2 linked regions of the Pelodiscus sinensis genome follow. The protein of the gene in region 1 binds, or shares a complex with, the protein of each later gene. Links are inferred from orthologs where the notes say so. Each region holds a gene or a part of one and is shown in the gene's direction. Other genes may lie near its edges.

Region 1 (12,240 bases):
ACTGAGTGGACGCTGAATCACATTTAAGGCCAGCTGGAATCAGGTCCGGCAGGGCATCAGGTCAGGAGTTACTTTGTGTGGCTGATCCCTGTGCTTAAAGGGATCCCCCCCGGACAGCTGGTTCTCAGCATTCCCTGCTTGCTTGCCTACCTCGATGAGGGACAGCAAAGCATTTTGTCTTTGCATGCTCTGATTGCCCTCACTCAGGATACAACAGTACTCTACAACATGGAGCCAGAGCTGCCCCTGGGCACTCTGGAGCTTCTCGTGGACATGTTGCTGCAAGCCTGGCTGCACTTTCTGCAGGCTGCCATCCGGGCGGTCCATTGGGGGGCTGTCAGTATCCGGGAGGCCCTGCGGGAGAGCTTCCACCCTGAGGAGCACCAAGAGCCTCCCTGGTCTGCCCCACTGGAGGCTTGTGCCTCATTCCTTCCTCACGTCCTTCCACTTACCCCTCCCTAGCCCCCCTTCCTGATGTCAAATCAAATAAATTTATTTCTGTGAACTCAAACTCTCTTTATTTAACAAAATTGAGGGGGGGGGGGGAGAATGAAACTCTGGTGAGACTGGGGAAAGGAGGCGGGAGAGGGGAGAAGAGAGGGTGGGAGAGGGAAACCTGGGAGGAGGGAGCTGGAAGGGGAAAGCAAAGGGAATAAGGGGGAGGGGAAGCTCAGGGCTCAGAGTTGGGGGTCTCTCTGGACCAACTTGATTTTCATGCAAATCTGCTCCTGGGTTCGCATGTGGCCTTTGATGGCCAGGCTGCCAGCTATCCTCCCATAGATGGCCGCATTCCTCTGTCTAGTGCAGAGATCATGGACGTTGGGGGCATCCCTCCTTGACCAGGAAGGCGCCCGCCTTCTCCGGGCCTTGGCAGGCTTCTGGGAGCTGGCAGACTGCTCCTGGGGAGCAGTGGAGGGCTGGCTGCCAGTGGCTTGCTGGCTCATGTTTTGGGGCCACTGGGTCAGGGGCAGTGACTGCTGGCTCTGGGTTGGCAGGCTTGGAGCTGGCACAGGCACTGTGGCCAGAGACAACCCCTTTAAGGGCTCCGGGGAGGGGGGGAGGGAGAGGAGTGTTCTTGGTTGAGGCTCGAGTGGCCACCAGGGCACCCTGGGAAGGCTGGAGGCAGAGGCAGATGATTATTTGCGGGGCCCAGGGCAGCCCAATTTCGCGGGGCCCTCCTTTGCCATGGTGCATGCGCGGGGCTTCTTGAAGCGCGGGGCCCAGGGTGGCTGCCCCACTCGCCCTGGCTTATATCCGCCCCTGGCTGGAGGCCCTCTATTTTGATATAAGTGTCTACACAGGACTTATTTCAAAATAGCTATTTCGAATTTGGAGTTATTCCTCGTGGAAGGAGGTTTACCAAATTCAAAATAAGCACTCCGCTATTTCAAATTAATTTCAAAATAGCGGTTTGGCTGTGTAGACTCTAGTAAAGTTATTTCAAAATAATGGCTGTGTAGAAAACAGTTCCCAAAGTGGATTTTCCATCTCTGAATTGATATCCCACTGTCCAATAATAATCTGGTGTTGCAAGATTCCACAGAGTGATCATCACTTTCTTTTTCCACTGTCAGAGTAGGTCTTATTTTACTGTTGATGCACTTCAGAGCTGCTGTCAGCTTGCATAAAGCTCCTGGGAAGTGGCCTTGTGCATTTGAAAATTCTCCAGCCACTGCTCATCATCCAATAGCTGCATAACAATGCGATCCCACCAGTCAATGCTTGTTTCCTGGGACCAGAAATGGCTCTCTACCATGTTCAGTTGCTGTGCAACTCCCAACTGCAACCAGGAATTGTTTCATTCTATGACTTGCAGCAAGGCAGCTTAAGTAGCATCGAAATATTCCTGCTATCTTGGCTCTGAAAATACAGCAGGTTAAAGCATGGGGTGTTTGTAATGCTCACAACAAGAATGCACAATTGCCTGGGGTCCACGCTTCTTGGACAATGGTGTATGTGTAGCTAAGCAAGGCTTTTGAAAAAAAAAGGTGTAAAAACACCCTGGGTCATTTGCCATTGCTATCAGAGGAGAGAGGGAGGAAGAAAATTGCATCCTGGGAGGTCAAAGCCATATTTCTATTTCCCCTCTGCAACAATGTTTTGATCCCATGAGGCACGGCAAGCTGTTCCTATAAAACACATATTGCTAGTTGCACTGTGGAATAGCTACCTAAGGCGGACGGCTCTGTGCATCGATGTAAGCAATGCTAATGAGGATGCATTCCACCAACACAATGATTATGGTTTGGATGCACAGCTGACTGACTTAACTGCTGCAATTTCTTTAAAAAACACTACTTTCCTGAAGAACAGAAGGACTGTCTAGGAAAAGAAGAACTATTTTTGTTTATATGAAACCTGACTGGTCAATAGCTGGAATTTAGCTAGAACACAAGAATTACAAAGTCTTCATACATAAGGCTGGATTTCAATTTAAATTAAGTGTAAACATGTCCTCAGGCTTTGTAGATTGCAATGTTGTTCCTATGAGGTGCCATGATACTGAGCATTGCAATGACTAAGTCACTGTTGATCCAGGCTGTAATCTTTTTCATGGTGGAAGAATTAGCACATATGTAATCTCTTTACTAGCATGTGCTCCATGACTATATGAGGAAGAATGCTGGTTTGTTGTCACAGTCATACCTGACCTCATATTTGCATTAAAATGCAGTATCTCACCCTACAATACTGACAGCTGTATCAAATCTGAGAGAACAATCAGCACTCACCTGTCATAACAACCTTCATTGCAACACACACTCATTATTCAGCACTCATTCATTAGCTCCTACCTACTGGAAATTCTCCCTAAATGTGCACTTGCATTCATGATAGACAGCAATGCTTCTGGCAATATCTGCATAACACACTTAACTCACTAGCCAATTAACATATTTATACAGCATCAACACACTGAGCCTTTCACTGACTCTATTAATTATATTTTAATGGATCCAATTTAAAAAGTTCAGCTGGTGGATATTGCATTTCAAGATTTATATTTTTAGGTCTTTGAAAAAAATGCATCACTACTTTTTGTCCTTTTAGCTAAGATTTAATAAGTCTTTTCTCTATACTGTAATATCAGCTTAATGTCTGACACTTCCTCTCTAGCCGTACATTTATTTTGGGATACTAGAGGTTTTCCGAAATAGCAACCCCTCATCTACACAAGCCACCCATTATTTCAAAATATTTTTCGAAATAACGGGCGTGCTATTTTGCCATCCTAGTAAACCTCGTTGCATGGGGATAAGGGATGACTTGAAATAGCGTGTTATTTCAAAATTTGGTGCTATGTCGATGTGCCAAATTTCAAAATAAGCTATTTCAAAATAGATTTAAGATAAGATGTGCAATTTGTGTAGTGCAAATTGTGTATCTTATTTCGAGTTTAGGGTGCCGTGTAGATGCACCCTGAGGGATTATTGTTATTTTGCTGGAGGTGAAGGAGGACTCCATGATCTAATGGGCCTTTTCTGTCTCTAACTGCAATAATCCTATACATCACAGACAATGTAGTGTAAAAATGCAGTGTTTTTAGTTAAATGATGTTTATAGCCATGGGAAACAAATGGCAAAATAATGTCCTCCTATTTATACAAAGCTATTATAAGGAGCCAAACACAGGGAGCTACAGAGAAAGAATCTATAAATCACTTTCACAGATGGGCCTGCCTGTGTTCAGTAGTCTGATATCAGCAGTAGTCCAAGAACAAGATACCTAATTAAACATTTCTTTACCTTTAAACAGGTGTGCCAAGAACTATTATCAGTCAGACCAGTGGTCCAGATTTACACAGCCATTATCAAAAGCAGAATTTGGCACATATGTTTTTAAGTAAACCTATTCCTCCTCTCCATTTTCTATTTAATTTCTTTTCTTTTTTGCATAGCGATGGATATACAAAAGCTCATCTGTGTCTAAATTAACTATTTCAGCTCTCCTAGCCTCCTCACCCCATTTCCTTTTTCTTGTAACAAAGTGATATTCTGCTAACTGTGTAGTAATAAGTTCCATACCAAGATACTAGATTGTTTTCATTATCATAATATCTGAATCACTGCCGCATTATTGCAATTTTATGCCTGTCATTAATTTGAATGGAATTGCACATGTATAAAAATGGAGTTACAATGGTAAATTATACCCTTAATTTTTGTAATGGTGAGGGGAAACCAAAATACTGTTGGAACCATGTGTGAGAATAGCTTTTCCCCAAAATATGCAGGCTGTATAAAAAAAAATCATAGTTGAACTAAACTTAGGACACTACATGGAAGAGGACTTGGAGGTAGGGTTACTACAGAGCTGACAGCCTGATACAGGCCACTGAAAACTATATAGACCCATGAAATCAACAGGAGATATTCCATTAACTTATATGGACTGTGAAACAGGCCCTATGTGGTCATAATACACCTGATGTCCATCACTGCCCTAAACATAAACTAATTTTTGCTAATATCATACTTTGGAATCTGACCTAAGGAAAGTTATGAAAGGCTTTCTCCAGTTCTTCTTTCACATAGAGAAACATACACTTTATAACTTTAATATCTCTCTGGTTTCCCACAACAAAACAAAACAAAATCAAAACTTTCTTAGACTTTTTGCTGTGTAGATAGCACCAAAAGCTGAAATAAGCCATTTCAATTTCAGCTACACAATTGGGCTACGTCTACACTGGCCCCTTCTTCGGAAGAGGCATGCTAATTTCTAACTTTGGAATAGGGAAATCCCCCGCGGGATTTAAATAAACATGGCCACCGCTTTTTTTCCGGCTTGGGGAAAATCCGGAAAAGAGCGTCCAGACTGGCGCGATCCTCCGGAATAAAGCCCTTTTCCGGAGGATCTCTTATTCCTACTTCTTTGTATTCATGCCCTATCAGCATCAAAGCAGCTATTTGCATATATGTGCAACTGCACTTAAGTTGCGGCCCTCGGCATGTACTGTGGGTATCATTGTGGACCCCGGGGCTTCCAAAGTTGAGTAGCCCTGGCCTAGACTGTGCCTACTTCTGTGCCTATTTCAGGTAGGAATAAGAGTTTATTTAAATCCCGCGGGGGATATTTAAATCCCCCGCGGATTTCCCTATTCCAAAGTTAGAAATTAGCATGCCTCTTCCGAAGAAGGGGCCAGTGTAGACGTAGCCTTGGTGTAGCTCAGGTGGCGTAGCTTATTTTGGCTTTAGCTCTGCCGAGTAGACATGCCTTTAGACTCAGCCGCTTTATACTGTCAGGCTATGTCTACACAGCAGGCTTCTTGCTCAAGAAGCCTTTTGAGCAAAAACTTCTTGCACAAGAGCACATCCACACCTCAAAGCACATCTCAAAAGTGATGTACATTTGTGCAAGAGAGCATCCACACTGCATGGACGCTCTTGCGCAAGAAAGCTCTGATGGCCTTCTCCGTGAGTGGAGCTGCGCAGCAAGGCACTGAGACAAGCCACATCAACGCATGGGAGGGAGCTGCCTGCTGGCAGGGGGAGGGGAGATATGTGGCAAAAGGTAGCAGCAAAGCATGCCTACCACGTCTCTGCTCTGTGAGGACTGTGGGAGCTGGTGCTTGGTGGGTCAGGCGGGGGAAAGGAAGGGAGTCTGGGAAGCAAGATTCCTGAGTTCCTTTTCTAGCCATGCTACTTCTCTGCTTGGTGCCTTTAACTTCACATTGATTGTACTGATATTGCAGTAAATATTGTATTGGCAGTTTTTGTTTGATTTGTTAAAATTGTGAAGCCAAAACAAAAAAAGAAGTCAATATAATGGTCTTCTATTGATATGTGTTTTTGTAGTTAAATTCCTGGACTGTTGTGAAGACAAAACAAAAAAAAAATCAATATAATGGTCTTCTGTTAATACGTGTTTTAGTAGTTAAATTGCTGAACTGTCATTGCTCATTAAAAGTGCTGTCATATGGGTGGAAATCAGGTAAATATTGCATTTTATTAATATCAGCAGATCTGATTTAAATGGGGCCTGCGCGTTGTGTAGTCTTGCCATACTCTTTGTATTCATGCCCTATCAGCATCAAAGCAGCTATTTGCATATTTTTGCATATATGTGCAACTGCACTTAAGTTGTGGCCCTCGGCATGTACTGTGGGTATCATTGTGGACCCCGGGGCTTCCAAAGTTGAGTAGCCCTGGCCTAGACTGTGCCCAACTAGGAATACAGACCAGAATAGTCTGTTTACTCATTAAAATATAAAAGTCTGCAGTTCTTTTGGCAAGTCTCTAGTACTATATTTTTAACAAATTACGTAAGAAAGCTTTGTAGTTCTTGAATTCAAGCTAAATTCCAGCTATTGACCAGTCAGACCCCATATGAACAAACATGTTCTTTCTTTTCCTGGACCAATGCCTTCTGTTCTGCAGGAAAGTAATGCCCTTTTTAAAAGAACTGCTTTGTTATTCAGTGGAATTCACAGTGTTGGGTAGGAAATTTTCCACTGGAGAATTTCTGAGCCACAGATTTTTTATTGCAAAAATCCCACCACAGGTGTCCAGTCATCCAGGCATGTGTGTAGCTAGGTCAACTATATATATTTGAGATTTTAATTTATCAGAAAAGTCCTGGACAGTTATCCAAATCCAAAGTGCAAATCCAAAGTGTAAATAACAGCTTTCTAATATCTAATGACTGATATCTCTGTGCCTGCGGTATTTCTGAAAGGTACTTTTGTCAATGAAAATCAGGACCTTAAATACCTTTGTGGCTCTGAACTTGACTTTGAAAAACTGGTTTGGGATGGGACTCCATTCAGAGTGGTTGCACCACAATGAAAAAGAATAGTTACTTAATTGCAAGTGACGTGTTTATGATAGGGCTTTGTTTTTGACCAGGAAGTCTTGGAAGTGCTCCAGACCATGAACTTGAGCAATATTTGTTTTTAGAGTTGAGATTATTAGTGATGCTTTTCCCAGCACTTAACAATCAGGGGTTTCCACATAACAGTTCTTTGGTTGGGTGCGTGCTGCATCTAAGGAAATGAGGGGCAATAGGCTTTTCCTGCGCCTGTTTCCTGCTGGCTGGGACCATTTTTCCCCTGGGAAGTTGCTTATGTCATTGACCGCCTGACGTTGCACTTCCAGAGCCGACCCTTGCTTCCCAGTGAGTCCTCGCCTTTGGGCCTGCCCATGTCTGGGTGCGCCTGCGGGGTCCCACTACACGCCAGGCGCGGGCCTGGGACTGGCGGGCGGGTGTCTCCTTCACGCGTTGGTGCCACGTGTTTTGACCCAGCCGCGTGGTGCTTTTGCAGGGCGCCCTGGAGCCGGCGAAGTTCCCGATCCAGAAGGGCTCCCTGGAGCGCCTCAGGCAGCAGTGGGAGTCCGGCGATGCGCTGAGAGCCGGTCCCCGAAGGGACTCCGCGGGAGGCCGCCGCCGCAGGCGCTCGCCAAGCCCGGAGGGGAAGGCAGCTCGCCCCGCGCCAGCAGCAGCGGCCGCCGCCCTGCGGGAGGAGGAGACCCGAGCAGCTGCAGCCGGCGGCCAAGAGGGCCGAGTTCAGAGCCGGCCGCCGGATAAGAGCCGCGGCAGCAGCAGCAGCACCATGGAGAAAGCGCCGCGGGCCAGCGCGGGGGCTGAAGTGGCCAAGGAGGAGGCGCGGGACGGCCGCCGCAGGCTGGAGCGCTTCGCCATCCCCTGGGAGGAGCTGAGAAGCCGCTTCGAGACCCCCAGCGGCGCGGCAGCGGCAGGCAGGCAGGTAAGAGCCATGGCCTGGTGCCACACACGCGCACCCCAGCCAGCGGCAGCAGCGCCCCGGGAAACTTCCCCTGGGCCTGGCCAGGGGCTGCCGTCAACTCAAGCACGTTAGTCCAGAGCCTGCTGCGTCGTCGGCCTGTGGTCACGTAAATGGAAGGAGACGGCCACCAGAGGCACTGACTAAACCACTTTGGGGGCCAGTACCCCACGGCCTGCCCTACAGGAATTCAGAGAGGCGGCTCTTCCTCCGCCTTGTGTTTGCCCTTCTCTCCTGTGCGTGGAGGTAGTAGCTAGGATCTCGGGCTTTTGCCTTGCCATTATGTACAGCACAGGGATGACGAGCTGATTGACTCTCACTGTTTCTTCCACGTTAAGTACATTAGTGTAAAATTGTCTGTGTGTCACAGGAAGATGGAGCAGACAGTGGTCAAAAATCAGCAAGGGAAAGGGGGAAATGAGGTGATACGACAGGAACCATTTTATGAAATGAAGGTGAGATCAATGAGTACACCAAAGCATTTTTAGATTTCTAATGTATTATGTGGATCCACTGTGTGAAGAAATTTTAATGCTCTCTTCTACAGTAGAGATTTGAAAAAGTTACGGGGAAAAGTTACTAAGGATGCTGTTACATTGTTAACTTGGCAATTTCTAGAATAGAATTTGTTTTAATTAGCTCCTTTGCTACTCAAGGAGTCCCTTGGCGCTTTACAATAATAAGATAGATAAGCAGCACAGGGAGTGTGTAGCAGATGAGGTAGGCACTGTGCATTCAACAATAGTTCACACATTACTTTATTCTTTAAAGACTGTTTTACTGAAGGAAACCCATCTGCCCGAAATATGGGCTATCTGAGAGGGCTTTTTTTCCTCAAGTAGTTCCACAAGATCTTTACTTCTCCCTACACAGCCACTGAATTTAATACCTGGCTCTCATCTGTAGATCTCAAAATGCTTTACAAAGGTCAGTGTCATTAGTCCTGTTTTACAGAGAAGTGAATTGACTTTCCCAAGATTATAGACAAAGTAAGAATCTGGATGCTGAAAGCGATGTTTAGCTTTTCCAATCAGAACAGAAAACAAAGTCATTCTGTGATAGAGAGAATGTTTTTTAATGTATTTAATTTAAAAGAAAGACTTAAGGGTGCTGAGAAGAGATGGTTCTGTGTGTGGAAAGCTGGAGAAAGTGTGTGTTATATTTTGGTGGTTACCATCACTACAGACATGAAATAAAGCCCACACAACAAAACTATGAATGCCAGTAGTCCAGCACATTGAATCATAGAACCGGAAGGGACCTCGAGAGGTAATCCAATCCAGTCCCCTGCAAACACACATCAGTTTCTTCCCCATAGAGCTTTCATATAGCAGCTTAAAAATAAAATAAAAACTAAGACATTTATTTACCTTCTGGATGTGTGCATGCTACTTGAAGTGTGCGGGGGGAGGCAGCTCTGTGTCCCCAGAAGGGGAGGGGCCATGGGCAGAAGAGGGAAGGCCAGGGCAATACTCCTGCCCAGCCACCAGAGCTGTGTGTGGTGTGGCAATCCATCAGGGTATGTCTACACTACCACCCTAGTTCGAACTAGGGTGGTAATGTAGGCAACCGGAGTTGCAAATGAAGCCCGGGATTTGAATTACCCGGGCTTCATTTGCATAAAGCCGGGCGCCGCCATTTTTAAATGTCCGCTAGGCTTCCTAGTCCGAACTACCGTTACCCCTCTTGAAACCTCGAAGCCTAGTCTGAACTACCTAGTCCGTGCCGCATGTAGCCGCAAGGCACGAAGTCCGCACTAGCGGACATTTAAAAATGGCAGCGCCCTGCTTTATGCAAATGAAGCCCGGGAAATTCAAATCCTGGGCTTCATTTGCAACTCCGGTTGCCTACATTACCACCCTAGTTCGAACTAGGGTGGTAGTGTAGACATACCCTCAGTGATTTAAAAGGCCTGGGGCTCTGGCCACTGCTGCCTTTGAATCACTGGGCCCCAAGGCAACTGTCACTGGGCCTGAGATAAAGTGCACAAGTGTTGAGGGCTGGGGGCCAACATTGCTCCACAACAACTGCCTCTGCATATATGGATCTTAACAGGAGCATATGCTGCAGTCTTTAGGGTGTTAGGTCTACTAAAGCTACACGATGACTTATCCAAGGTCCATCCTTGCTCATGCTTTTTTTTATAAGACTGTACCTAAACTAATGCAGAAATTCTTTGGTCTAGTTCCCATGTGAGGAGAAGGCTCTCTTCTGTGGTGTCACCCAAAGGAAGAAAATAAATCTATGTAATTAGCATAGTGTAAAGCACATGTTATAAGCCATCTTTTGTAATTAGGGATAAACACTATATTTTTCAAATACATATGTTTAGTTACACTTAATAATTTTTCAGTATAGGGTATACAGGCAGTCCCCGGGTTACATGGATCCGACTTACATCGGATCCCTACTTACAAACGGGGTGAGGCAACCCCGCACTAGCTGCTTCCCCCCAGCAGACCAGGGAAACGCGAAGCTAGCGCCCCCCTCAGCAGACCAGGGAGACGTGGAGCGGCTTTTCTCAGCAGACACCGCATCTTGAGAATAAAGGACTGAGGGAAGTGAGGTGTGGGAGAATAAAACTGAGCTCTGGAGAAATGTTTGGCTAGAGTTTCCCCTACAATATGTACCAGTTCCGACTTACATACAAATTCAACTTAAGAACAAACCTACAGTCCCTATCTTGTACGTAACCTGGGGACTGCCTGTACTTTTGTTATTGCTGAAGTCAGTGGAAGTTTTGTCTGTGAATAGAGTTGCCAGATGGTTTCAACAAAAATACCGGACATACTTAATATTACATCACAATCTCCATTACATCTTATTTAGAAAATACCAGACATTTATATTTTCTCAATTTGTTTCCCGAACAGAAAGCTCAAATACTGGACTGTTGGGTTCAAAGCTGGACACCTGGCAACCCTATCTGTGAAAGCATATGCTTTCTTCAATTATTACAGAGAAGAAATGATCAGAAAGGCCTTGATCCCGCTGTTGGACAAGCAATGAGGAGTAACAGTTAATTTGAGGGAAGGGTTTTGGATCGGACTACTGCGTCTACATGCGGCGAGTTAATTCGGGCTACCAGCTTTTTAAAATGGCGACCGGCCACGAATACGCTAATCAAGCGCGGGATATTTAAATCCCATGCTTCATTAGCAACTTCGGTATGCTTAATTTGTCTTCCTAGTTCGAACTAAGGGGCAAGTATAGACATACCCTAACGTACTACCTACAAAATTACAAGGCTACAGGGGGTAAGGGATTGGAATGCAGGAAGGGGTGTGTGGGATTTGGGAGGGAATCTAGATGGAGGAGGGGATTGTGACCTGGGACAGGTAAGAGGGGTGTAGGGTTTGGGTTACGTAGGGTATGGGTGCAGGAACAGGGCTTGGGGGGGATGGAGCAGCTGGAGAGCCAGAGGCAGGCTCTGGCTAGGAGGTGCTTACCTGAGCGGCTCCCAGTCAGCAGTTCAGCAGGTTCCTTAACCAGATTCCCTGCCTGCTCCACCCCCACACGCTACTCATAGCAGTTGCCTGCATGGGCTACGTGTGCTGCTCTGAACACAGTGAGCCAGGGGGTAGAAGTAATTCTTGCGCTAGCTCCCATTGGCCGGAAACTAGCCAATGAGAGCTGTGAGATTGTGCTGAGGGTGGGAACAGCTAGAGAAGTCTCCTTCCATCCCCCCCCAGCTTGCAGTATTTAGAGCTGCACACATGGTTCCTGCAACTTTGTTGCAAGGGGATGTGGATAGCAACTGCTTTGAACACTAAGGAGAGGGTAAAGGGCTTGTTTATTAAGTTAAAACTGGGAAGGGAGGGGGATCTCACTCATACACTCAACCACACTTACAATCCCAGGCAGGATGATAAGGCAAGCAGAAGTCAGTTCAAGTTATCTGATCTTCCCGTGTTGACTCCTGAGCTGGTCTGCTGGCCAGGCGATCTGAGCAGAGGGCGTTCTCCGGGAGGTTCCACTTGATGGTCAACCCACTGTGTCTGTGCCCCTCTCTCTTTTAAGGATCAGTCACGTGTAGCTTCTGGGTCCCTGGGCCTCTCGGGCTGTGTGCACTGTTTTTTACTCCTGCTGTTTACCTCAGAGTTTTCCCACCTCTTGTGTCCACCACAGACATTCTTCTGCACTCACTCAGGGAAGAGATAGGGGGTTAACATATAACACTTTAACAGCTTAGGGAGCCAAACAACATCGTTAACAGGTCAGAAAGAGAACAACCTCCATTTTAACTCTTTCCTTGCTCCTCCTCCACCTCCAACACAACAGACTTCTCTAAGTGGCATGCAGTAGCGGGGCAGGCAGGAAGCGCTGGGTGGGGAGCTGGATCCAGCAGTTCGGCAGGCCAAATCCAGCCTGCAAGCCATATTTTGCCCATCACAATCTAGATCATATCTGACAGATGTTTGTCCAATCTGCTCTTAAAAATCTTAAATGATGGAGATTCTACAACCCCCGTAAGCAATTGATTCCATTGCTGAACCAC
Region 2 (12,486 bases), on another chromosome or scaffold:
ATGTGTTCATTTTTTTTAATTGTATCCTTTGGTATATATGGTTGTGACTTTTTTCTTCCACTATTTGATCTGAGGAAGTGGGTCTGGCCCACGAAAGCTCATCATCTAATAAACCATCTTGTTAGTCTTTAAAGTGCTACATTGTCCTGCATTTTGCTTCACGTAAATTATTACAACATTGATTAAGACAATTATACCCCCCAACAATCAGGGAAAAATGGGTTAAGTAGAAAATCTGACTATGAAGCTCAGTGTGTGTGTTTTAAGTCCTTCTTAGAAGAGACAGTGTTCCTTGACTTAAAAGCCGACTCTCCATGCACACCGGCTCCTGCACACCCTCCCCCCACACACTGCTGCCTCTGATACAGAGGCAGCAGCACAGAGGGAAAAGGCAGGACATGTGACTCCCCCTGTGTAATGTGTAACCATTGAAATCTTCAGCAGTTACATGTTTACCTTAATAAATACATTTTAACACCCCCAGTTAAAACCCTGCTGGTAAAGTGAGTTTCTGCTAATTAGTTCCATGAGTGAAGTGCTCTGGGTAGTAACTCATGTACTTATGGAGCCAGAGTGACAAAGCACATTTTCATGTCTCAGTGGGTTATTGCACTGTCTGCTCCATTTAATGTATAACTGAAGTAAAATATAAGTTGAACCTCTCTAATCCAACACTTTTGGGACCTGACCAATGTTGAACCAGAGAATTTGCTGAACCATGAGAGGTCAATATTGTCTAGCATCATTACCACACTTCCACAGCTTACTGGTCTCTTAGAGGACATTCAAGGCTAAATTAGAGCTAGATAACTGCACAGAACACTGAGAACTAGGACTGGTGGCTGTAAACACACTTCAGGTGACTGAGGAAAACCTGTCAACCCCCATGGTAAGTGGACATACAGCTAACTAAAATTGTGCTGGGCCAGAGAATGCTGGACTAGAGAGGTTCAACCTGTATTAGAAAATTCAGATACAACAAATACAGATAACCAAGCCAATTTCCAACAAAGCCTACGAGGAAGAAATCATGTGTGTCTTGGAAAAATATATAGCTTAAGCTTTCAGGGGAAAAAAAGTCACAAAATGGGCGAGGGTTACCAACTGATGGATCTAATTATAGCAAAAACAAAATGTACAAGTAAAGAGCTAATTTTCCCATTGTGCTTCATGGGAGTCCACCTGTTAGGCAACTGGATTCTAAACAGCAGTGGCACAAGAAAACTCACCAGAGAAACATATATACAGGGTAGATGCCCTATATCCCAGATATTGCTACACTGAAAATACTGCTGCCAGAGAGTCCATCAGTTGAAGTTCCTATATCAGTTCCATAATGTTTATTTGTATGGTAGAGATTCCCAAACTGCAGTCAGGTACATCTTTTCTAAAATGATAGATTATCTTAAACCCTATTTGAGTGTGATCTGACTGGATGAGGAATGGGAATGTCTTCTGTCTTATAAGATTAGCTGATGGAAAATAAAAACCTGTCTATTTATTTGGTTCCTGTAATCCTTTCTTCTGCATGGGATCTGCAAACCAATCAAGTGTTCTTTTTACTTGAAAGATATTAAGGTGAATTCTTGAGTCCTCATTATACTGACTTTCATAGTTTTTCCTTAGAAGAAAATAAATCTGGACAAGATGCAGATTTTAAGAAGTGTTTGATGCAGTACCTGACTACCCTTTTTAGCTTAGTTTGAATAGATTTAGAAGAAGAGGAGCTACAGTCCCTATTCAATTTCCCTTCTACTTCTGATATATAGGATATGGTTGCTTCTTCTTCCATAGAAACATTGAGCAGCCTACTCAAGTGAACATTACTTTTCTGGAGGAATTTATCAAGACCATTGTGATATACATTGTTCTATAAGTTATGACACGTTTTGCACCTTCTTCTGAAGTAGTTACAGGTCATCCTTGCTATAAGTTCAAGATATCATAGAATCATAGAATACTAGGACTGGAAAGGATCTCGAGAGGTCATCGAGTCCAGTCCCCTTCCCACATGGCAGGACCAAATGCTGTCTAAACCATCCCTGATAGACATTTATCTAACCTACTCTTAAATATCTCCAGAGATAGGGATTCCACAACCTCCCTGGGCAATTTATTCCAGTGTTTGACTGCCCTGACAGTTAGGAACTTTTTCCTAATGTCCAACCTAAACCTCCCTTGCTGCAGTTTAAGCCCATTGCTTCTTGTTCTATCCTCAGAGGCCAAGATGAACAAGTTTTCTCCCTCCTCCTTATGACACCCTTTTAGATATCTGAAAATGGCTATCATGTCCCCCATCAGTCTTCTCTTTTTCTAAACTAAACAAACCCAATTCTTTCAGCCTTCCTTAATAGGTCATGTTCGCTAGATCTTTAATCATTCTTGTTGCTCTTCTCTGGACCCTCTCCAATTTCTCCACATCTTTCTTGAAATGCGGTGCCCAGAACTGGACACAATACTCCAACTGAGGCCTAACCAGCACAGAGTAGAGCGGAAGAATGACTTCTCGTGTCTTGCTCACAACACACCTGTTAATGCATCCCAGAATCATGTTTGCTTTCTTTGCAACAGCATCACACTGCTGACTCATATTCAGCTTGTGGTCCACTATAATCCCTAGATCCCTTTCTGCCGTATTCTTTCCTAGACAGTTGCTTCCCATTCTCTGTGTGAAATGGATTGTTCCTTCCTAAGTGGAGCACTTTACATTTGTCTTTATTAAACTTCATCCTGTTTACCTCAGACCATTTCTCCTATTTGTCCAGATCATTTTGAATTATGACCCTATCCTCCAGATTAGTCACAACCCCTCCCAGCTTGGTATCATCTGCAAACTTAATAAGCGTACTTTCTATGCCAATATCTAAATCGTTGATGAAGATATTGAACAGAGCCGGTCCCAAAACAGAGCCCTGCGGAACCCCACTTGTTATACCTTTCCAGCAGGATTGTGAACCATTAATAACTACTATCTGAGTACGATTATCCAGCCAGTTATGCACCCACCTTATAGTAGCCCCATCTAAGTTGTATTTGCCTAGTTTATTGATAAGAATATCATGCGAGACCGTATCAAACGCCTTACTAAAGTCTAGGTATACCACATCCACCGCTTCTCCCTTATCCACAAGACTCGTTATCCTATCAAAGAAAGCTATCAGATTGGTTTGACAGGATTTATTCTTTACAAATCCATGCTGGCTGTTCCCTATCATCTTGCTACCTTCCAAGAGTTTACAGGTGATTTCCTTAATTACTTGCTCCATTATCTTTCCTGGCACAGAAGTTAAACTAACTGGTCTGTAGTTTCCTGGGTTGTTCTTATTTCCCTTTTTATATATGGGCACTATATTTGCCCTTTTCCAGTCTTCTGGAATGTCTCCTGTCTCCCATGATTTTCCAAAGATGATAGCTTAGAGGCTCAGATACCTCCTCTATCAGCTCCTTGAGTATTCTAGGATGTATTTCATCAGGCCCTGGTGACTTGCAGGCATCTAACATTTCTAAGTGATTTTTAACTTGTTCTTTTTTTCTTTTATGTTCTAAACCTCCCCCCTTCCCACTTGCATTCACTATGTTAGGCATTCCTTCAGACTTCTTGGTGAAGACCAAAACAAAGAAATCATTAAGCATCGCTGCCATTTCCAAGTTTCCTGTTACTGTTTCTCCCTCCTCACTGACCGGTGGGCCTAACCTGTCCTTGGTCTTCCTCTTGCTTCTAATGTATTTATAAAAAGTCTTCTTGTTTCCCTTTATTCCCGTAGCTAGTTTGAGCTCATTTTGTGCCTTTGCCTTTCTAATCTTGCTCCTGCATTCCTGTGTTGTTTGCCTATATGTTCCAAAAAACGTGAACTTATAGCAAAACAACTTAAAGTGGGAAATGCATTAGTTCCTACAGGCATCAACGACTTTAGTGCAGAATGGATGTATACCCGAGCGACTTATAGCGGGGACACCCTGTACTCCAGATGACATTTTGCAAAATAACTAGTAAAAAACCCCAAACCCACTATGAAATGTTTCAGCAGATCAGAATTGACAGAGGGCAAAGTAGCGTCATACCACACTGATGCTAATAATTGAAGTTCTTGATTACTCAATTTATCTGTTTTTCTTCTCCTTTAGTACATTGTGGTACACACTACATAATACATCTGTAAGAGTAAGCGTCAGGGTTTTTTTTTTTTTTGCTTGCTTTTTAAATCCTTGTGCAATTGGGTTGTACTAAATCTATGATGATTTTATGCTGGAAAGGCTGGCTGTGGATTGCAGTATTTATACTGGAAAGTGTTTTCTTACTAGAGCACAAGGTAAGTGCATGTTTTTGTGGTTAAACTGTGGGAAAACATTTATGATCATTTTAGTGATGTAAACAGTGTTAGGGTAAATTCAGGCTATATTTTATGGTAGTACCTCTAGTTTGTTTTTTACTAGAGTAAAAATAAGAGCAACATAAATGATAGCTGTCCCACCTTCTCAGAAGTGGCTGGCGTGTCCCTCTCTGCTGCCTTGGGGTGGGATCAGGGGGCCTCTGCACTGCCCCTACCCCAAGTGATGGCTCTGGGAGCAACAGCCAACGGGAGTTGTGGGGGCAATGCCTTCAAGCAGGGGCAGCGTGCAGAGCCACCAAGCTCCCTTACCTAGGGGTTGCAGAAAGGCTGCTTTGGAGAGTGATGTGGGGACAGGGCAAGCTGGAAGCTTTCCTTGGCCCCACTGCACTGTTGATCAGCCCCATTAGGTAAACGCCTGGCCAGAGCCTGCACCCTCACCCTCTCCTGCACCCAACCCGCGCTTGAGCCCTGAACTTCCTTCCACATCTAAACTCTCTTCCAGAGTCCGTACCACTTCTGCACCCCAATCCTGTCCCCTAGCCCCGAGCCCCTGCTTCACCAAAATTCCCTTCCAGAGCCAGTACCCCATCCTCCATCCAAAACCCTTCTCCAGGCTCAGCCCAGAGCCCCCTCCCACACTGCAAACCCTTTATCCCCAGTCAAATGAAAATAAGTGAAGGTTTGGGAGAGCAAGTCATGGAGGAAGTCATGGTTGTGGGCCTTGCAGAGGGGGTGGAGGAAGAAGGTGAGGCACGGGTGGGTACATGTGTATAGACAGGCACCAGGGAAACTAACACTCCTACCCCCTGCATTTTAAACTATGTAGTCTTAGTTTTTCTTAACAAATCTCTTTCGGGACTGTATTTCAGTGAGCTTATTGCCAAAAGAGTTGCTTCTCTGTCACTTTGTTGGATGACATATTATCCAGCAGAGCCCTGTGTTTTTGGTGGACGGCCGGCATCTGATAGTGTCTGCTTAGTGCCTTCTGTCCCCTGGAGACTGCCACACCGAATCGTTCTATATTGTATTATAGCTGTGGTGGTGTGTTGTGGCATGATTTCCCTTCCACTCCCTTAGAAATTGTAATTTTGGCATTTCTTTCCTCAATATGATTAGTTATGAAACCCTCAATTCTCTAGATGTGTAGCTAATGGAAGTCTGCTGAAAGGTCCAGCATATTTGAATAAACTGTGGGCTGGAGGGAGGAGGAGGCCTATAAAAAATATAGCTGATCCTGCTCTTTCAGAAATAAAAACTTAGATTATGGTAAGGAAAAAGCTGATCTTGCTATGGAGAAAACATTGCAGGAAAATTACAATTAAGATGTAATTACTGTTGCATCAGTACTCTGAATATCCATTATTTGTAGTGTTAATCTTTTAAGTAATCTAAAAATCCAAGCAGTTCAGAATTTGTAATTTTTGACCAGTTGACTTTCAGTGGAAAAATAGCAGCTTAGCCCATGCTGAAGTTTTGCAAAATGTAGCAATTACTTTTATGCTTATTAAAGTCTCCTCCATTCTCCCTTAATTATTCTGACATCTTTCCTTTCCAAATATATTGAATTTGGGGGAGGAACAAGGAAATTTTAAGTGCAGAGCCTTTTATTTATAATGCAGAGATATTTGCGTTTTTCAACATTTCACCTTGGTATCAACACCAGAAGTCCACAACTCATCGCTGTACTGCATTTGTGTTGTCTATAACAAGTGCTCTGTATGCCAGAGAAGCGAATTGCCACATCATGTAGCAATTACTATAGTTGCCCAGAAAGACATTTATTATGCCTGACATTTGCAGAAGTGACCAGTTGTTGTGAGTGCTTGACCTCACCATTGTAGCAAAAATTGTCCAATTGTTGTTGTTGGAGATTTTGGGGCCCAATTTTTAGAGATGCGGTATGTACCTACAGCTCCTAAAGAAGTCAATGGGAAGTGTGGCGGCACAACAACTCAGGAAATCAGGCCTTATGGGTGTCAATTTGGGTGCCCACAATGACTGTCACTCTCAAAATGTAGGAGCTTATTTATTAAAACAGCAAGATAAGTCATTTGAAATCTTTGTCTATCATTAATGCATAAGTGCCTTCTGTCTGTGGGTTACAGTAGGTTGAGAGTTGTCTGTTTTTCTCAAATATTAAAAAACTCTAAACCTCCTTATACTTTTTGCTCAGGCACAAATGTTCTGTTTGTTTTCATGTCTTTTTCTAATGAAGTGCTCTTGTTCCAAACAACAAATGGGAGGCATATGTTAGCCACAATTACATTTTGGTATTTTGGGAAGTTTACATTCAAACACTACACATTCCTTATGTTTTCTATGTGGATATCGGCTCCAAGAACACATAGAAATCTACTACCATAGACCTGTGAGATGAAGCCTGGATGTGGACTTCACTGCAGTGGAATCTCTTTGTGGGATGCAGTATGAAGTTGTGATGTGATGTGGTAGCATTAGGAAAATAAAATCACATTTAGAATGATTGTCGATCCAGCTAGCTTTTTTACTTTGAACCTTACAATACATTCGTACAGAGCAGCAGGTGAAATAACTTCTTCTAGTAGTAAGGCAGCTTCCATTCCAATAGATCTATGCTCAGAGCAGCTGGGGCGCTGCCGGGTAGGTCCCCACAGCGCCGCACCTCAGCACTGCGGGGATCAACCCAGCAGCACCCCAGCTGCTCTACCCCAGGTGTCCCCAAGTTAGCCGCTGCTGAAACTGATCAGCGGCTGATTCCAGGAAGACCGGGGGAGGGGCAGCTAGTTTCCCCTCCCCCCCCCCCCCCAGCAGACCAGGGAGATGCGGGTGGCGGGACCGCCGAGACGCGCCGCGGTCCCGCCCGCGAGCTCCGCGGCTTTGCTCCGCGTCTCCCTGGTCTGCTGGGGGAGACGTAAGTCGGATCCGCGTAACTCGGGGACTGCCTGTATATGTATGATCATGGTATATTATCTTCTGTAGAGTGTTGATATGTGTGTATGTATGAATATTACTTTAGCTGATATGAGGCCGGAAGCATTTTAAGAGTATTGAAAGGAACATTTTAGATTTCATCCTTACAGAAAGGAACCTTTTCAGTTAGGAGCATGAAAAATAACATATATTACATTCTAAAATTACATTTAATAAAGCATTTGTGAATTATCCAAACTCTCTGTATTAGAAAAGTAAGGGTATATGTTCCTTTTCTGTACAAACTTTATTTAGACTGAGTGAAGAAGTTTTATGACAGCTGATTTGGGGTCTGAGATATCTTAAAAGCTAGAACTGAATGGTTTCCCCATAATATTAGGATTCATGTCACCCTTTTGAGCCAGCTAATTTCATTAAATTATTTACCTTGCATAGTTACTGAATTACAGTGCTTTAATTAAATGTGTCTTAGACATTTAGGCATTGTTTACTTATACTTTATCTGTAAGAAAGCACTAGCTCGGTTAGCAAGGCCATCTGTAATGTCTTCTAGGTCACTCATATGGAATTTTTCTGATAAAGACTTTCAAGTGTTGTCTAAATAAGGAAGAAGCCTTGGTAAGGTTAAACTTAGTGAAGGACACAAGAGGAGCCTACATCATAGAAAAGTAGTAGAACATAAACAGTTTGCTGTAGCAGTGGCCTTTTACATTTTTAACTATATTTTTTAAATATTAAAAAAGAATGCCTCTCATTCAGGATTTCAAGGAGGATGAAAGTGAAGAGGAGGAAGAAGAAGAAAAGGTGGTGGCAGTGATAACTGAAAAGGAGCTTCTTTTTTCACTGTTTTAGGTTAGTGATATTGAAATGCTTTCTTTTTTTTTTTTTTGATAGGTGTTCCTTAAGCCTGTTATTGAGGACAGAAACATGGAACTGGCCAGAAGATGCACTGAAATTATAAGTGATGTAAGTGATTGTAACCATTTGTATCCTTTAATTAAATTCCTTTCTTTAAAAGTTTTTTTGTATTATTCTTATTTCTTCGTATTTGTAAAATGTAGCTGGAGGTGCCCATCCTAAATTCTGAGCGCCTGCATGATAGAGTAAAACATACAATAATAATATAAAGGTGCTATCAAAGAATATATGTATGAGGAAACTCCATTAAAGAGTGATAGTATCTCCTAAAGGCACTCAGTTAACAAATGCCAAATGAGTTATTAAAGGAATCTAATGTATGTCTTTATTTGGCACACATACATTGGATCAGATCCTTAGTGGTCATAATTTTGAGGAGTTCTATTTTACATCCGTTTTATTTGTCAGCTGAGGACCTGGTCCTCTGAGTGAATTATGAAAGTGGAGGTTTGGGTTTGTATTTATTGTGGAAACTTGAGTCCCAGGAGGAACTTTGCAAATGTGCAGTAATTGAGGTTCTGTTTGTGATGGGATTGCTTTCCTTCGTGGATTAAGTATATATAGTTACTAACAGCAAGATAAACCATTATATGAGAGATGGTGATTTGCCTTTAATGATCTTTCTAACCAGCTCTAGGCTGGGATGTTTTGGCTCTTGAGTAGCAGGACTACAAATTGGGGGCTGGTTCACCTTGTATTATAACATGATGTATAAACATTTTGTGACACTATTATCCAAGGTGAATAAGTATGTTGACTTTGTGAGATTAATACATGCAGAAACTAGACTACAGAGGATGCAGAAAATTCATTACTGGAGGATGTTTATTCAGGAAGAATAGATGGCCACTAGAAAAATGATTAATCTGGAATGGAGTTATCATGCTGGGTAGAGAATGAAGCTTGAAAGGGTCAAAACTTTTTTTCTGCCTGAATGTTGTGTGGGAATACGTTAATTTTGGTGTGGGCTGGGTATTAGATACAGCCTTAAGAGAGGCCAGTAAGATGATAACTCAGTAACATCAAATTATCTTAAGAAGTTATACAAGTTATATTAATATTTTTATCAAAGGTACTAATGGTTATCCATGTGTTTTTATTGGAAAGGTACTGAGTTTAATACAATACAAGCCTGTCAAGTCAGATAAAAGCCACAGTGAAAATGAAGCATTAAGTTGACCTGAAAGCCATTTATTCTTTCAATACTACTCATTTCTAGACGTAATTGATTGCTGTCACAAAGTCAAAAAATACCCTGAACAGTGCTGATAAACTCTTTCTTTAAATTAGGAATTATTATTGAAAAGTGTATCGGTGGTTGTGGTGGCTGCTGCTATTGTTCAGTAGATAAATATTATGAATATAACTTTCTTTCATTTTTTTTGTGTAGGTTTGGAGGCTAAAATGAATAAATAAGTTAAAATGAGCTTCAAACTCAGTAATGGTTCAGAGAGGCAGCTTTTGGTGAAAGTGTGTGTTAGATTTTCACTGAGATATGTGAAGCTTTCAAAGGATAATGATTCCTAATCCTGCATGATATTATTATAAGAAGTTGTAATGGTCCAGAGCCAATATAATATGAAAGGGAATTCTTTTTAATATACTAAAATGGAACCCACATTTTGAGCCTGATCCATTACTCACTAAAATCATTGGATTTGTTTTTATTGGGTATAGTGGGTATTAGAGCAGGTTCAAAGTAAATTTTTTTAATCCTTCCAAACCTTCACCCTAACTGAATTTTCACTATCACTAGAAAAGCCCTACAGTTCTCAGGGAGGAAATTCCCCCTCTATAACTTCTTCATTCTAGGAATGGTGCCAGAATCTCTTAACTCTTTTTAGTTACAAGAAGACGCACACAGCTATGAAGCTGCTGGCAGTTTCTAGGGGAATTGTCTTCACTTGCTTCTGCCAGCAGCTGCACCAAGTTTGGGAACAGAGCACAGTGAATATTCCAGTTTGCTTTTGGATCCAACCATGTTTATAGCTCTTTTTTATAAACATTTTACACAACTATTTAGGGAGGAGCTATTATTCACGCAAATATGGAGATGGATTAGTGTATTTACTTGGTAATGAACAAAATTTACCTGAAAACCTCTCTCTCTCTATACACATACACCCATGTGAACACACACGCACACAGAGGCTTTCAGACCCAATTTGCTCATTGCCAAGTGGAAAATGTGGAAGGGAAAGGGACTTGCAATGAAGGTAATACGGGAAAGTCCAACAGAAATAGGTTTTAATGACTTTGTGTGGCTTGCAGTTTTACCCTAAAATGACATTGTGATAGCTGGAGCACATGACCTTATGACTACAAGCCTGGGTTATTTTCTTTCCTTCCTTGCGAGGCTGTCAACACATATTCTGTCAAAATGGAATGGCATGATTGCTCATAGCTTGAGATATAATGATGGTGGTATTCTCATCTTTCATGCTTTAGTATCTGACTTGAAATTGGCACTATTATTGTTAAAGCCCTTTATGGCATGTAAGCCTCTGGTCTTGTTCAGGGAGGTATCTGTTCTCACATGCCACTGTTCCAACAATTCTTCCATTGCAGTCAGCCGATGTTCACACTTTGTGATGATCCCTATGTTGCTTCCCTCTCAGATACATCCAATTTAATTTCTTTTAATTAAATAATAGTTTTAAAGATGCCTTTAATTTTCACTTATGTTGGACTTTTGCGTGACTTTCCTTTCTAGCCCCTTTGCTTTCAACATTTACATTGGATGCCTTAATTTGTTTTTATTGTTCTTTTTTAAAAGGGGATATGGGTGCTGTTGTGGGGGAGGTAGGAAGCTGAATACAAATAAAGTTGTTAAGCAAATAATCTTAGTCCTTTTATAGAAGGAAAATAGCTTGCCTCTTGATTCATCATACTGTATTTCAGATGTGCATGTTGCTAATGTTTCCTTTAGCAAATTCCAATTAAATATAATGCTGCTCACTATCTAATTTGCCACATAATGTAGTCCAAATTGTAGTTCTTTCTGATTCAGCATCTCCTTGCCATTGGTTGGACATTGTGAAGATTAGATCCTGCCAGAACTTTAATTGCCGTTTTTGTGAATTAATAGTGTTTAATGATAGCTAATAAAAATTAATTGAAAATGAATTTGTTGCCGTTCGGATTTCCTTTGTTTTCTTGTCTTTAACTACAAGAGAATTCTAGGTACTACACTGTGGTTCTGAGAATTGTCCGTAAACTGGAGACAAAAATTATTTATTGTTGGTTAAAATGAGAAGAGTAATTATGACTCGGTTAACTGTTGTTTCAAGCTGTTTTTCTCTGTATTGGATATTGAATGTGAATGCATGATAAATTATGTCTTAATTAAATCCTTATTGAATGTAATTTCTCTAATGTTTCAGAGTTTGATTTTCATTTTAAGATTCATATCCAATTTGAACAAATTGTTCAGGATATCATTTGTTGCTGTTAAAAGCTAATAATAGCCGGTGTGTACCATTGTTCCTGTGCCAGATTCTGCCCTCAATTACACATGTGCAAATGTATTGAGCGTATCCATATAACTTCTGTAGGGCTGCATAGTGACTGAATTTGAACTAACAGAGTTTGGTCCTTTGACTCTTCTTTTGCAATTGTATCCCACTCAGTACACCTACTCAATGTAGCTTTCTGTTTCCCATCTAGTGGGATCTGCAGTACATAAGTGTTCAAGAGGCAGCTACTGCCTTTCAGTTAACAGATGAGTCTTTTAGCTCAGTTGCTGAGACATACGTTTTTGATTCAGAAGTCCTGGTTTGACTGCTTCTGCTGCTGATCCACCCATGAGCATTGTGTGACAAATAGTGGCCCCTATCAGGTGTTAAGCTGAAATTATTTCTGCAGGTTGGAATAAGATTCCATTATAGGATTCTGTGTGTAGTTCATTCCTACTAATTGTAGCAGTCTGTATTTCTGTAGTGACTGAGCCATGCATAAAGGTTAATGAGCCTAATCTAGCCTTGCCTAGGAAATTCAGATCTTTTAACTCAGGCAGTAGAGGCTTATGCTTTTAGAGTCAAAGGTACCGGGTTTAACCCCTGCTGTCACGGCCTTCTGAGAGGCATCACATTATGTTGGAATTTCAAATACTGGTTTCTAGACACATTTACTGGTTTTAGGGACACATTTTCAAAGCTGGACATAGACATGCCTGCTTGCAATTCATTGAAGGCACAAATACCAGATGTGTTTGTACAAATGGCTACATAGGCTCCTAATTGGCACTGTGAACATGCAAATACTCTATGCACATGCAGCATATATTTGTGCACATAATTTTCAATACATAGCTATATATGTGCAAAAC

What was found.
Region 2: the proteins of XIRP2 (region 1) and NEBL are in contact, whole or in part, in a crystal structure (PDB 4F14), measured with the Homo sapiens proteins. The link is inferred for Pelodiscus sinensis from reciprocal best matches to the Homo sapiens genes XIRP2 and NEBL. Residues at the interface, in NP_689594.4 of Homo sapiens: Pro2420, Pro2421, Pro2422, Thr2423, Leu2424, Pro2425, Lys2426, Pro2427; in NP_006384.1 of Homo sapiens: Tyr963, Asp964, Tyr965, Asp969, Asp971, Glu972, Ile987, Asp988, Asp989, Gly990, Trp991, Met1004, Pro1006, Asn1008, Tyr1009.

What each region holds. Positions count from the first base shown.
Region 1 is NC_134717.1:37,960,146-37,972,385, forward strand, and holds the start of XIRP2 (xin actin-binding repeat-containing protein 2), read left to right. Parts: upstream 1-6,976; 5' UTR 6,977-7,553; coding exon 7,554-7,706; intron 7,707-9,566; exon of another isoform or gene 9,567-12,240.
Region 2 is NC_134712.1:221,697,864-221,710,349, reverse strand, and holds the start of NEBL (nebulette), read left to right. Parts: upstream 1-7,762; 5' UTR 7,763-7,985; coding exon 7,986-8,045; intron 8,046-8,135; coding exon 8,136-8,207; intron 8,208-12,486. UniProt on the Homo sapiens protein: Binds to actin and plays an important role in the assembly of the Z-disk. May functionally link sarcomeric actin to the desmin intermediate filaments in the heart muscle sarcomeres.